Caenorhabditis elegans: one gene and its partner. The protein of the gene in region 2 interacts with the protein of the main gene of each other region in a pairwise test. Each region holds a gene or a part of one and is shown on either strand. Other genes may lie near its edges.

Region 1 (7,793 bases), on a different chromosome or scaffold from region 2:
CAATTTTCAGTATTTTTTCTGAAATATTTGGCAGCATCTGAAAGCATTTTTCAACATCCTGTAAATTTTGGCAAATGTGGGCAATTTTTTTTGCAACACCTGGGCCGGCAATTTCTTAATCACAGCGGTAGCGACGAGAGTTTGAAATTACAGTACTCTTTAGAGACGCAAACCTTTTCGCATTAAATAAAATGAAAGACTAATTTTCAATTGGTCCGTGGGGTGCAAGACTAATAGAGACTAATAGAGGAAATACAGCATATATTTTTATTAGATGGTGCAAAGTCCTATTTTCCCAGAAGATCACATCTTATTAAATTAAGATTCTCTGGTTCGCTGCCCCCTTCTCTTCCAAAGTTTCCTCAAAAATATATCCGAAGGGAAAATAAAAAATAATATGCGCAGACGATAATAAAAAAATATAGACAAAAACCCGATTCTCTAAGAGATCAAGCACGTCGATTACGTTATATTATTTTTCCCCTGTCAAATTTCATTGTTATGCAACATCTGCATGACGTCCATCTTCTGGACAAGACCGAGAGATGATATGGGCGGTCTGTACACGTTTTTTTTCTGTCTTTCAGATATCTCATCGTAATAAGCTTGCAGATATTTTTCTAGTATAGTTTTATCTAACATTTCTGACATTTTCAAAAATTTTCAAAATTGAAGCGAAAAAGTTGGTGGCCGAGTTGTTATTTATTCCCGGCCACATCGCAAAAAAAATCATAATTTACTCTGTTTTTGGAAAATTAGGTAAAAATTACTTTCAAAAACAGTAAACAATGGTTCAAAGTTGCATGTCCAGTTTTTCACTTCGTTCTTGTATACTCCCCCTGGTAAAATGTCTACTTCTATTTGTAAACTTGCTGATTTTTGAATCCTTAATAACTCAGTACCTGTAAGAGATACAAAAATATTGTCAACTATCAAAATAATCAAAATTGTCTCAAAAATATTTTGTCAGTTGACAATATTTTTCCAACTCCTATCCCAACGGAGTTATTCGTTCCATAAGAGATCACATTTTCCACAGACCACACCCCAATTATTTCCAATAAATCAGAAAATAATCAAAGTCCATTATCACTGCTTATCCCGTTAGCCATGTTTCATAGAAGGGCTAAATGATAATGGATTCTTCTTTTTTCAACATTCTCCTTCTCCTTCTTGCCTGTCGGTTTCCTTTTCCGATCCAGAGAAGAAGGGGAAACTTGTCGATTAGCCAGTTCACAAATCAAGAAATACCGGTGGATTCGGAAATTTCTCTTTCTCGAGATTTTTGACATGCTTTCGGTTTGACCCTTCTATGTGTCATTTAAGTTTTTTTTTGTTTATTTTCGTTGGAACATTTTGAAAACTAGTGTAAATCTGTTATTATAAGTTTATTCGTTTATTTAAGTACATTTTCGGTCAGTGGGGTCTAAATAAAAGTTACATTTTTGTGTCCCACTAACTTTTTAACTTTTTTTTGAGAAATTTTCAAAACGTTTCATTAAACGCGGTAGTTTTTGGTCATTTTGGGCATAAAAAGGCAAAGTCTTCAATTTAGGTACTAGAGTTTTTAATATCAGTCCGTCATTTTAGTTTTTGATTTGTTTCCTTTTTTATTTTTAGTTTGTTCCTAAATTCTGAAAGGCTATATCACTATTGTTCTGGATTCTACCAATTAAACTTTGATATAATTTCTTAAAAAATAGTTTGCTCCTAGAAATTGTAAAGTCAAAACCCTTCTTTCTATCCTGTCTGCAACTTTCAATTTTTCAATAAAAACTAAACACAGATATTCTAGATCAATTCCATATGCGAAGGCTTTTGATACATCTAGTTGTCCTTCTAGTACTATTACTAGAAGGACACAATGTTCTAGGGTTTGCAAGTGCGCCAGGGACCTATCCAGAAGAAGAAACACGAGCTGGTAATGATATGGAAGTGCCCAAAAATCCATATGAAAGCACATGGACCGGATATGATTTTTATTATGAAAAGGAGCCAAAGAAGGGTACGTTAGAAAAAATATGCAATTTTTGAAATTTATTTTCCAAATTATTATCAATTTTTCCCTGTAAATGTTGGCCGAGTTTATCTTGCACTTTATATTACGTTTCATTTCCAGATTATCATTTCTCGGCAGTCATGTAGCAAAATCAGAATAGCCTGTCAATAACTTCCTTCTAATTTTCAGTCCCACCCTCCGCAGGCAGCGGAAAAATGCCAGCGTTCCAGTCGATCGCGTCCATCTCAACAGACCGTGAATCTCCAGAAGACCCAGGAAATAGTGGTTATTTAGCGTCCGGAGCCGAATCTGGACCCAAGAAAACCACGTCGAAACCTGCAACAACACCCACTCCAGAACCTACCACTACTCCCGTAGAAGAAGAAAAAGTAAAAGTGTCGCCGAGCAGTAGTACTAAAGGTTGGTGGAAAGTTGAGTTTTGTGGCCACGTAGAAATATCTCACCTATGCACCAGAACACCTAAATAGTGGTTTCACACACACGTGTTTTATAAAACTTCACTCCAGATCCATCAAAGCTGCACAAAACCACCAAAACACCTGTCACTATCACAAATATAATATCAACCACCACTGCACCACCAGCGCCATCTAGAGCACCAGAAAATGATCCGGAATCCGGATCCGACCAATCGGAGAGCACTGATAATTTGGATTTACTTTACGGCGGGGGAAGTTCTGCCACAGCCACCGGGGAGGATAAGAAAGGTATTTGGAATAGGAAAATATAATTGAGTATCTAGAGAATATGTAAAACTAACGTTCTAAATATTTAACATCTGAAAACAATTTTCTAGTAGTGTCACATGTCACATTGTAGATTTTGTGTACTGCCTTTTTCAACTTTTGGAGTTCAAATAAAGATAGGTCTTCTGAATACATGTAGTGGCCATTGTCATCGACATATAAGCGCAAAATAGCGCACAAGTGGACATATAAGCGCAAAATTCAAAGTTAGCCAGATTATCAAACTGTCTTTAAAACCAGCACGGCACTCTACCACTAATAATCCCAACTTTTGCACAGACCCTCCCAAACTGCATGATCCACCTCCACCGCATCCATCTGCACCACAAAACCTTTTAACCCAATTGATTCAAAAGAAGAAGGATGCACCAAACAAAGGATCATCTGAGAAAAGTTCCAAATGGTCAGATGATCATGCTTCCGGGTATCCGGAGGGAAGTGCTCCTAGCGCTGAGCCATCTGAAAACCAGTATGAGCAAGATGGTTCTATTCCATCGTCGAATGACTACAAAGAGCTCACAGATGTACCAGGTACAAAGCCAAGCTCTTCAGCTTCACGTGGTTCAAATATGGCAGGTAACCCCACAGCACCGCTCACCACCACTCAGCACACTTTTGCACCAAACAGCACTGAAACATCAAGATCTTCTACTAGCAGAGGAAAGGCTCCTGGGACCGAACCTAAGTCTGAAGCTCGGTATAGCTCTCAGAATCCTTACTCAGACAACTCGAGCACCCAGAAGCCAGAATACGAATCTGGATACCCAGCGGTGTCTGGAGCAAACTCAAGAGCCCAAATTCCTAATATCACGGACTACACTAAACCATCAGCAGTGTCAATTGAATACGCATCAAGCTCGAAGGAAAGGTCTGATCCTCCATTTTCAACACCCTTAACATCTAATTCACAACATGTACTTACACAGCCAAGGCCAAGGGATTATGAAGATGGCCCGCAGGAGACAACTCGGACAAAAGCTAGTGGCACAAAATCACCTAACTCACTCCAAGCACCTCAACAAACTGCAGCACATCTCATGAAAAATGCCAGAGCACCTGGTCCGGAGCCAAGTCTTCACAGCACTACCACTCACCACGTACAAACACCAATTATCACCATAGCACCCAAGTTTTCAGAACCATCACCATATGCAGAAAATATTATGCTTACACCAAAGCAGGCACCTGGCACCGAACCTCGGTCTAACTCTCAGAACCCTCAAACAGATCGGTTAGCCTCCCAATCAGGATATGAATCCGGCGGGCCTGGACGTCCACAAAATGTTTCAATAAGACACCGAGAGAATCCAAAGGGATCTGATGCAATTTCAAGAACCGCTATTACTCCTTCTAAGATTGATTACTTTGCACCATCGTCACCAACAGGGCCAATTGGATATGAACGTCAAGTCCCGAGTTTCAAGGAAGGACCAGATCATCAATATACAAAATACTCCACGCTCAATTCACCACCTGCACCATCACCACAAGAGTCAAGCACAATCACTCACCATGTCTCCACATCACCCGACTTTTTAGAGCCATCATCAGAAAGTTCTGTGCTCTTACCGAAGCAAGCACCCGGCACCAATCCGAGCACGTCTAATAGTCCACCTGGATATTCTGAACTAATTGGCCCCTCTGGTCCCGGTAATGGTCTACCTGAAGCACCCAGTCACGCCGCACAAAACATTCCCAGAGCACACACGTTTTCAGAGTCACAAGGGTACGAACCGATGGGAAACAATGGGCCAAGTATCTTTGAGGGTCCTGGAACAGAATCTGGATATTCTGAGCCTAAAGCTCTTAGTACTGCGTCACAAAAGACTAAACCAGATGACAAGCCATACGAAATACCACGTAGCATTGAGCCCAGCAATTCGAAACCATATCCATCTGACAGTTCCTGGTCTGACCATGACAATGCTCCTGGCAGTGAGCCAAGCTACATCCCGGACGTTTTAGACTACGGAGCACGAGCCAATAATCACGCGGGCAAAATGATGAATATGTCACATGCCACGTCACCAAGCACCGGTTCACCATCTAACTCGAACAATGCGATTTCCGCACGAGACCCATATGATCACTTTGGCACTATCACTGCACCATCTGACATTCCACGTGCCAATTCAAATTTTGAAGAATACCCGGACGATGGAGGATATGACGGGACGAATGATGTGGCAATTGTGCCTTTGAGGTGATTTTTTGTGGGAAATCGAGTCCTCGATGCATCATGTTTAATCTTGCTCGAAACGCATATATCTCGGAAACTACGAGAGCTATCAAAAAGTTGTCAACTAACAAAATGTATAAAAAAGTTTGGCGAACAATTTGTCAGTTAATAACTTTTTATAGACTTAATAGTTTTGGAGAAAAATCAAGATACAATTAGGCACACACTTTTCAGAACACAGCACGGCACAAATCCTTCCACCATCACTACCACGAACACTCAAGTGAGAGCACAAATTTCAGAAATTGATCGGATTGCTGGTAAATAATATCGATATTCCAAAAATTTTTGGAAGAAAAATATGAATCTTACATTATTTCAGAATCTTTCGAGAACTCGGCGCGGGAACCTGTGGAGTATGAACAGCGAATTACTAGTGAATCATCGAAGGGAATTACAGCTGTAACCGGAAAAGATTTTATGGTTTTATTTTAAAATTTCAGCCGATTTTTTTGAAATATAATAAAAATTAAACATTACAGAAGAAGCTTGGAAGAAAGTCGCCAACATGTTGCTCATGTTGTGACGAGAAGCAGTCTGTGAGCAGAAATATTGAGACACAGGTTTAAAAAAAAGCAGCACTGTTTTAAACTTAATAATTTCTAGGCTGACCCATTGCATGTTCAACACGCAGTCGACCCATCACGGCAGTTAGGTACGTAAGTTTCCTCAAGACTCCCCCGTTGGTCACAAAAATAGGTTCGAATCCTGCCGTGGTCGAAACTTTTTTTTGCAGTCGAATCCGAGCCAGTGCAGAACTTTGTCCCTCTCCAGAACACCGTTGGAGGGAACGCCTATATTCAGCCACAACCAGTCGCTCAACAACAGTAAGTCTTTGTTTTAAATGGAAATATGTCACTTTTTTTCCAGAACCATCTACCAACAACCTTTCCAGCAATACCAACCACAGTACCCACAATCTTATCAGCAACCATCCTGCGGGTGCCAGCCACAGCCTCAAAACTGTTGTGCTCCACCTGCTCCTTGCTGTCTCCGTAAGTGACATAAATAATCCGTACAATTCATTCTTAGAACTATCTTTGTTCAGCAACAATTCCATGTTGTCCACCAATACCTTGCTGCCCGCAACCGAAGATTTGCTGTCAGCCAGCGCCAGTCTGTCTCCCTCCACCAACTTGTTGCTCGATTAACTTTAAACTTCCGACTATTCCAATCTGTGGTAGAGCCTGCCCATCGTGTCCATGTCGACGGAGAATGCACAAATCACGTCGTCTCAAGCGTCACTCAATTAACTCGAACTGTCATCAGTGCTCTTCTGCCGGTGAGCCATGGAGATCTGTGTTGCATCACCGAGAGAAACGTGCAGCTCCGGGATGCACTTCCGGTTTTTCGACGATGGTATGACGTTTCAGAGTGAATGGATAGAACTAAAACTCCACTTTTCAGAGTCAAAATTCGTGTGGCACATGTGGAGCGTCAAATCTCAGATCGCCACGTGTCAAGCGTATGGGATGTCTGCCGTGTCTGGGAAGAAAGAAGCGAGATACCGATGAGAATTCTCATATTAGAGTGAAGAGAATGGTGAGTACTGCGAGCTCACAAAAAATCAATTATCAATTTTCTTACAGGGATGTCTTCCATGCCTGGGTCGTAAGAAACGCAGTACCCTATCACAATCGGGATGTTCTCAATGTAATAGTATGGGTCATTTGTTCAATCGCTACAAGAGGAGTCTATTTGGAGGATGTTCGCCGTGTGCACCACAGGTATGAGATTCACGCCTCCCCCAACTTGACTCGAAAAATGCCTCCAATTAAATGCTAGGTGGAATTCAAATTTAGAAAGTACAATGTAAATAAGTAGCTAACAATAAGATTATAACTTTTGAATAACTTGAAAATCAGTTATGACAAAATGTATACGAAGTTCCGAGTTCCCATGTTACGCCTTGGCCAGGTGAAACTCAACATTGTAATACGAAAACCAACTCTCAAATCTTGACACTTTTCAGCAACCCTGCGGATGTGGCCGTAAGAAGCGATCGGTCACCATGAAGCTCGTCAAGAGAGCTCCGATGCAGTGTGACTCCACATGTTGCGACTTTTCAAGGTGAGCACATCTAAGTATTGACTGTAGTGTAACTAACATTTCCTATATTTCAGATGTCCATATCGCCAGAAGAAAGAAGCGCTGGTGCCGTTTATGTAGAGCTCACAGATGATAAGATCACATCGACGGGTTGTACATACCTCATAGAATCATCATATTGACTGCTTATTTCTCAGAGTGTTTTTGAAACATATTATTAATACAATAAATTGCAATAGTTCATTTTTGAAAATCTAACAAAAAAGTAGTAAGATTAGAAGGACAGAAAAGGAACCGGGTCACCCGAAATTGATGGGATTATGGGCCGGAATGATTGTGTGTGTGAAATTGGAATTATTCAAGGAAGACAACTAGAGATCGCAAGTGATTGTTTAAAAAAATATAAATAAGAAAAAATCTAAAAAGTTATGGACTATGGCTTTTCAAAAACCCATTAATTTTCATGTTCAGAAATTCGTTTGGACTACTCGACGATGCTATTTCAGACGCTAGAGATTGATGTTGTTGTTGATCATCGTAGAGTTGGAGCTGGCGTTGATAACTGGCAATTTCCAGACGGAGAGCCTGAAATTAATATCAATTGTGATCTGAAACAGGGGTGGGCTGCAAACGATTTTTCCGGCAAATCGGCAAATTTCCGGAATTGAAAACTTCTGGCAAATCGACAAGTTGCCGGAATTGAAAACTTTTGGCAAATCGACAAGTTGCCGGAATTGAA
Region 2 (4,618 bases):
GTTGCTAATTTTTTTTTGCTTTTCAAAATTGTTGTTTTCCGTAAGTACAATTTTAGCATTTTTTTTAGGAACGACAAAAAATCGTCAGATCAATTTGTAATTTGAAATTTGAATCCAAATAATCTCTTGGTTTTAAAAATTTAGCATTTCAACAAATATCAACACAAAAACTAAGTTTAATTATTCAATGTTTATCAACTGAATTTTTATTAAATTGAAAAAAAAGTTGTTTTTAAAAGTTGTTTTTTAAAAATTTATTTCATCATGTTACCGTGAATTGAAAATTTGAACTTTTCAGTTATTTGAGAAGATTCCCTATTTTGAAAATGTTGGCAACATATTTTTGAGCGTAAAATGTTCACAATGAACTGTAATTTTTTGATTAATCAAAAATATATATCAGAATCAATTTTAAGGTTTGTGACCTCCAACATTTCCAAAAAACATAACTGATAGCATAACAAGTAAGTTCAAAAACTTTGCGTCTCTTGAGTATTATTGGGAGGTAGTTTGAAATTCCCCAACTATCTTTGAAACATTTGAGAATTTCACTTTTTAAAATTATGTAATTGATTCACTTGTTGGTATTTTTCCATGAAATTCCGACAGTTTGCCATTTCCAAATGCGCGGTCATTTGTCAACTGTGCTCCGCCTTGGCCTTCATTTCTACTCAATTTTCTCAGCAAAGTTTGTCCCGTCTAAACGGAACTACTAAACTTTTTTGCTTTTGCCGTTTTTATTTCGGAAATTTTTATTTGAATTTTCATCCAAATATTTTCTAAAAACGTATTTCGATATCGGTAACCCCAGCAAATCTCATTTTTCCGCATAACAGGACAAACACACTGTCCTTTTCGCTTCACTTTTTTGCTATCCCCTTCTTTTTTCCGTGTGCGTGCCGGGTGAAACTAGTCTCATCATTTGAAAATTGTCTGTATAATATCCGACCTACTACACATAAAATATATAGATGTTGGAGATGTTGACAGCCGGAAATTGTTTGGAACTAATTAGCTGCTGAGGGTTTTTTGCTGTAATTCAAGTGGACCCAGCACTTTTTGAGTATTTTGAATTTGTACTTACGCATAATTAAGCTTGTTCATTCTTATTTCTTTTAAATAAAAAAACTCCTGAAATCACAATAAAACAATATTGTCGCTTGTTATGGGATAAAACCCCATATTTCAGCTAATTTTATTAACACATACAAGTACATTAGGAACTAGATGATAATAAAAAAAAGTAGGAAATATTTTATCAGACGACAATTAAAAGTAAAATCAAAAGCATGAGCTGCCAAACTGAAACGAGCACAAAAAAAATGTCGAAATTGTACAAATACTCTCGAAAACCTTTTTTTTTAACTAAACGCTGAATTTCTATGTTTTCACTTTTTATAAACGTTTGAAAATTTTGTATATCTTCAATCACTCGGTCAACTGAAACTTTCCCTACTATTTCCAAATTACCGTCGAAATGCCACAGGGCAGCTAGCTGACCCCTGGCAACCACGAGATTCCCCCCCCCCCCCCCTTCATCTCTCTTGCCCGTGTTTCCTCTTCCGTTCTAATTACCTGCTTATTATCCGACAATACACCTGGCTCTCTAGGACCTTCTCTTTCTCTCTCGCGTCACTCCGGCAGCTAGCGTGTGCGGTACAGAAGAACAATCGTCAAGCGGCAAACTACCTTTTTTACCTCCAAACACAAAACAATTCGACTAGCTGCCGTCATTACTCCTATTTGGGATCTGCATTCAATGATCTACCACTCATGAAATATCAACATTTTCTCATATTTTGTACCCTGGTTACAAATGGTAAGTCTACTACTAAGATATGATGTCATTCGGTTTCACAGACTGATTGATCTGAGTGTGAAAAGTTTTGGTTTAGACTAGATGAGAGATAGAAATGTATAACACGAAGTTTAAGTGAACATCTCAAAAACTGAAAATCTAATTTAAATTCAAAATATGTTTGAGAAAGTTGATTTTGGGCTTTTAAGTGTTGAGCATTGTTGTATCTGAAAACTCTCAATTTTTGCAGCCCATCTCTTCTTTGATTTTGTAATCGTTTATATATTTTCAACTAAAATTGTAAACAAATAACTATTAACATATTTGTCGGTTAACAATTATTTCAGAAGCCCAGACCTTTTCAATAAAACACATGACTTCTTTCTCTGAAAATTAAATGAAGCTCGTATATTTCATACCAAAAAACAAAATAAATTTCTAAATTTTGTTTTCCAAAGATCAGTTCCAATCTAAAACTTGGACAAAACTACCAACTGACTTTTTGCAAAAAGTAATCCATCATTATCATTAAGACAGATGAATACCACAAGCTGTCACTAAAACTCTTTTCAGCACTATGTAACAGAGCGTGCAGTCGGAACACATGTCTTAACGGCGGAACTTGCACAGTGAACGATGAGACGCGAATGTTTCAGTGTGAATGTCCGAAGGGTTTCAGTGGGTTGCTATGTCAGGACAACTGCTCTTTGCACTGTCTCCACGGTAACTGCGTGAAAGGAACGTTTGGCGAAGAAACTTGCCAGTGCTCCGAAGGATGGATGGGCTCACTTTGTGATAATCTAGTTACTGATGATGACACTGCTCAAAAGTGCTCACCGCAATGTGGCGATGACGAAAGGTATACATGACCTTGTGCAAACCAAAAACATGTATGTTTTTTATAGATGCACAAAAGGAGCCGACGGATCATACATTTGCCAGAGCAACGAGCCGTCTTGCGCAACACACACTTGTCAGAATAACGGCACTTGTGTTGCCGAGAACGTGAGTGACTTGAGTCCAGAGTGATAAAAACCAATAGAATGTTCAGGGAAATGTAAAATGTGCCTGCCCACCTGGATTTGTTGGAGATCACTGTGAAACTGACGAGGACGAGTGCAAAGAAAATTTTTGTCAGAATGGAGCAGATTGTGAAAATTTGAAAGGAAGTTATGAATGCAAATGTTTAAAAGGATTTTCTGGTGAGTTTTGGTTTGAAAATTTGGATGGGAAGGATGAAATATAGTTTTCCAGTAGACATAATTGTGAAAAAAAAACCTGAAGTTTGAAAAACGTTTAGTTAGATTTTTTCAATAAGACTAGTGTGAATTTGATCAAAAATCATTTATAAGGTGCTAAATGACCAAATGTCATAAAAAATTTTCTAAACAATTCGGGGATTTTTTATCTCGAGTCAAAAATCGCATACATGTTTTTGCCACGTTTCGACAAATCTGAAGCATTGTCATGTTGATCCCTTTTGGCTCGAAATAAAATCATTTCTTCAGGTTGTTCAAAAAGTTTTATTATGATATTTGGACAAATACCCAGTTTTTTTGCAATACTTATAGTTTTCAACTTTCTTATTATTTTCTCAATTTTGTTAACGTTGCTGATTTGTTGAGAGTTTACATTCGAATAAATTATTTTATAAAAACAAAAGAAAACTAAGAAGAAACATGTTTTCACAATTTCTTCTAGGTAAATACTGTGAAATCCAAGACAAGAAACAATGCACTTCTGATTATTGTCACAACAATGGTCAATGCATTTCGACTGGCTCCGATCTCTCCTGCAAGTGCTCTCCCGGGTTTGATGGTGCATTCTGCGAGCTCAAAGCAGAGGTAACACCAATTTTCTCACTGTTAATTGCTTGTGTTTTTTCTCAGGTTAACGAGTGTATATGTGAAAACCCGGCTCATGTTTGTTCACTCGTAAACGGGACGTCAAGGACAACGCAATGCGAGTGTCCTTCGGGGTTTATGGTACGTTTGACGAATAATCTGGGCATGTTCGGATATGGGTCCCTCGCGCAATCTATCGTTTAATTGCAGGGTGCCGACTGTAAAGAGTTGCAAGCTCGTCCATGCGATCGTGAGCCGTGTCTTAATGGGGGTCACTGCGTCGACGACGGGCAGAATCTCTTCACCTGCTTTTGCCTTCCCTCTTTTACCGGCATCTATTGTGGAGAGCCTGTTGATTGTCTGGTTAATGGATCGGATTGTAAGAATGGGGGAAAGTGTGTGTTCGCGTTAGCCGCAACTACCTGCCAGTGTCCGGAAGGATTCAATGGGTCCAATTGTGAAATAAGTAATTCATATCGGTCACATCCAACATGCAGTGACATTCGATGTTTGAATGGTGGAAGCTGTAAACTCGACGCAGAAGGGGAACCGTTTTGTGTATGTGAAGAAGGGTTTGATGGACCGTTCTGTGAGCCAAAATCTGGATGCACAATTAATCCCTGTCAAAATGGAGGAACTTGCCAAGATGCAGGTAATAAGAAAAAGAATAGAGTTTTTTAGGGAGCTGTAAATTAATTTTTGTGCTGATACTGATACTCTTTAAAGTTTTACAATTTTTCAGATGGACAATACTTCTGTCATTGCACATCAGGCTTTGGTGGCGTCCACTGCGAAACGGTGGATGAGCCTTCAACCCCTATTCCCACATTAGGAACGTTTCCATCTTTTACAACTTCTGGAATCGACGGATTCTCTCAGAGTGTGAGTGTTTTAGTTTTTTATTCAAAATTCGTTCATAATAAATACTTGCAATATTAAAATTTTTCAGAAAATATCTTGCGAAGACTGCGTCAAC

Evidence for each region. Proteins that work in one complex are often made in the same cells at the same time.
Region 1: the proteins of crb-1 (region 2) and K08E7.5 interact in a two-hybrid assay, tested with the Caenorhabditis elegans proteins (one large-scale study listed by BioGRID).

Annotation. Positions count from the first base shown.
Region 1 is NC_003282.8:12,571,575-12,579,367, forward strand, and holds K08E7.5 (Prion-like-(Q/N-rich)-domain-bearing protein), read left to right. Parts: upstream 1-1,793; 5' UTR 1,794-1,806; coding exon 1,807-2,005; intron 2,006-2,188; coding exon 2,189-2,419; intron 2,420-2,526; coding exon 2,527-2,727; intron 2,728-3,045; coding exon 3,046-4,969; intron 4,970-5,179; coding exon 5,180-5,265; intron 5,266-5,327; coding exon 5,328-5,428; intron 5,429-5,487; coding exon 5,488-5,568; intron 5,569-5,611; coding exon 5,612-5,660; intron 5,661-5,741; coding exon 5,742-5,832; intron 5,833-5,875; coding exon 5,876-6,000; intron 6,001-6,053; coding exon 6,054-6,364; intron 6,365-6,412; coding exon 6,413-6,547; intron 6,548-6,594; coding exon 6,595-6,732; intron 6,733-6,977; coding exon 6,978-7,075; intron 7,076-7,128; coding exon 7,129-7,174; 3' UTR 7,175-7,296; downstream 7,297-7,793. Other genes in the region: K08E7.6 (Myb_DNA-bind_5 domain-containing protein), read right to left, coding at 7,481-7,639.
Region 2 is NC_003284.9:17,411,005-17,415,622, reverse strand, and holds the start of crb-1 (uncharacterized protein), read left to right. Parts: upstream 1-1,608; 5' UTR 1,609-1,773; coding exon 1,774-1,819; exon of another isoform or gene 1,820-1,931; intron 1,932-2,371; coding exon 2,372-2,657; intron 2,658-2,703; coding exon 2,704-2,803; intron 2,804-2,849; coding exon 2,850-3,000; intron 3,001-3,499; coding exon 3,500-3,642; intron 3,643-3,687; coding exon 3,688-3,783; intron 3,784-3,852; coding exon 3,853-4,294; intron 4,295-4,384; coding exon 4,385-4,524; intron 4,525-4,591; coding exon 4,592-4,618.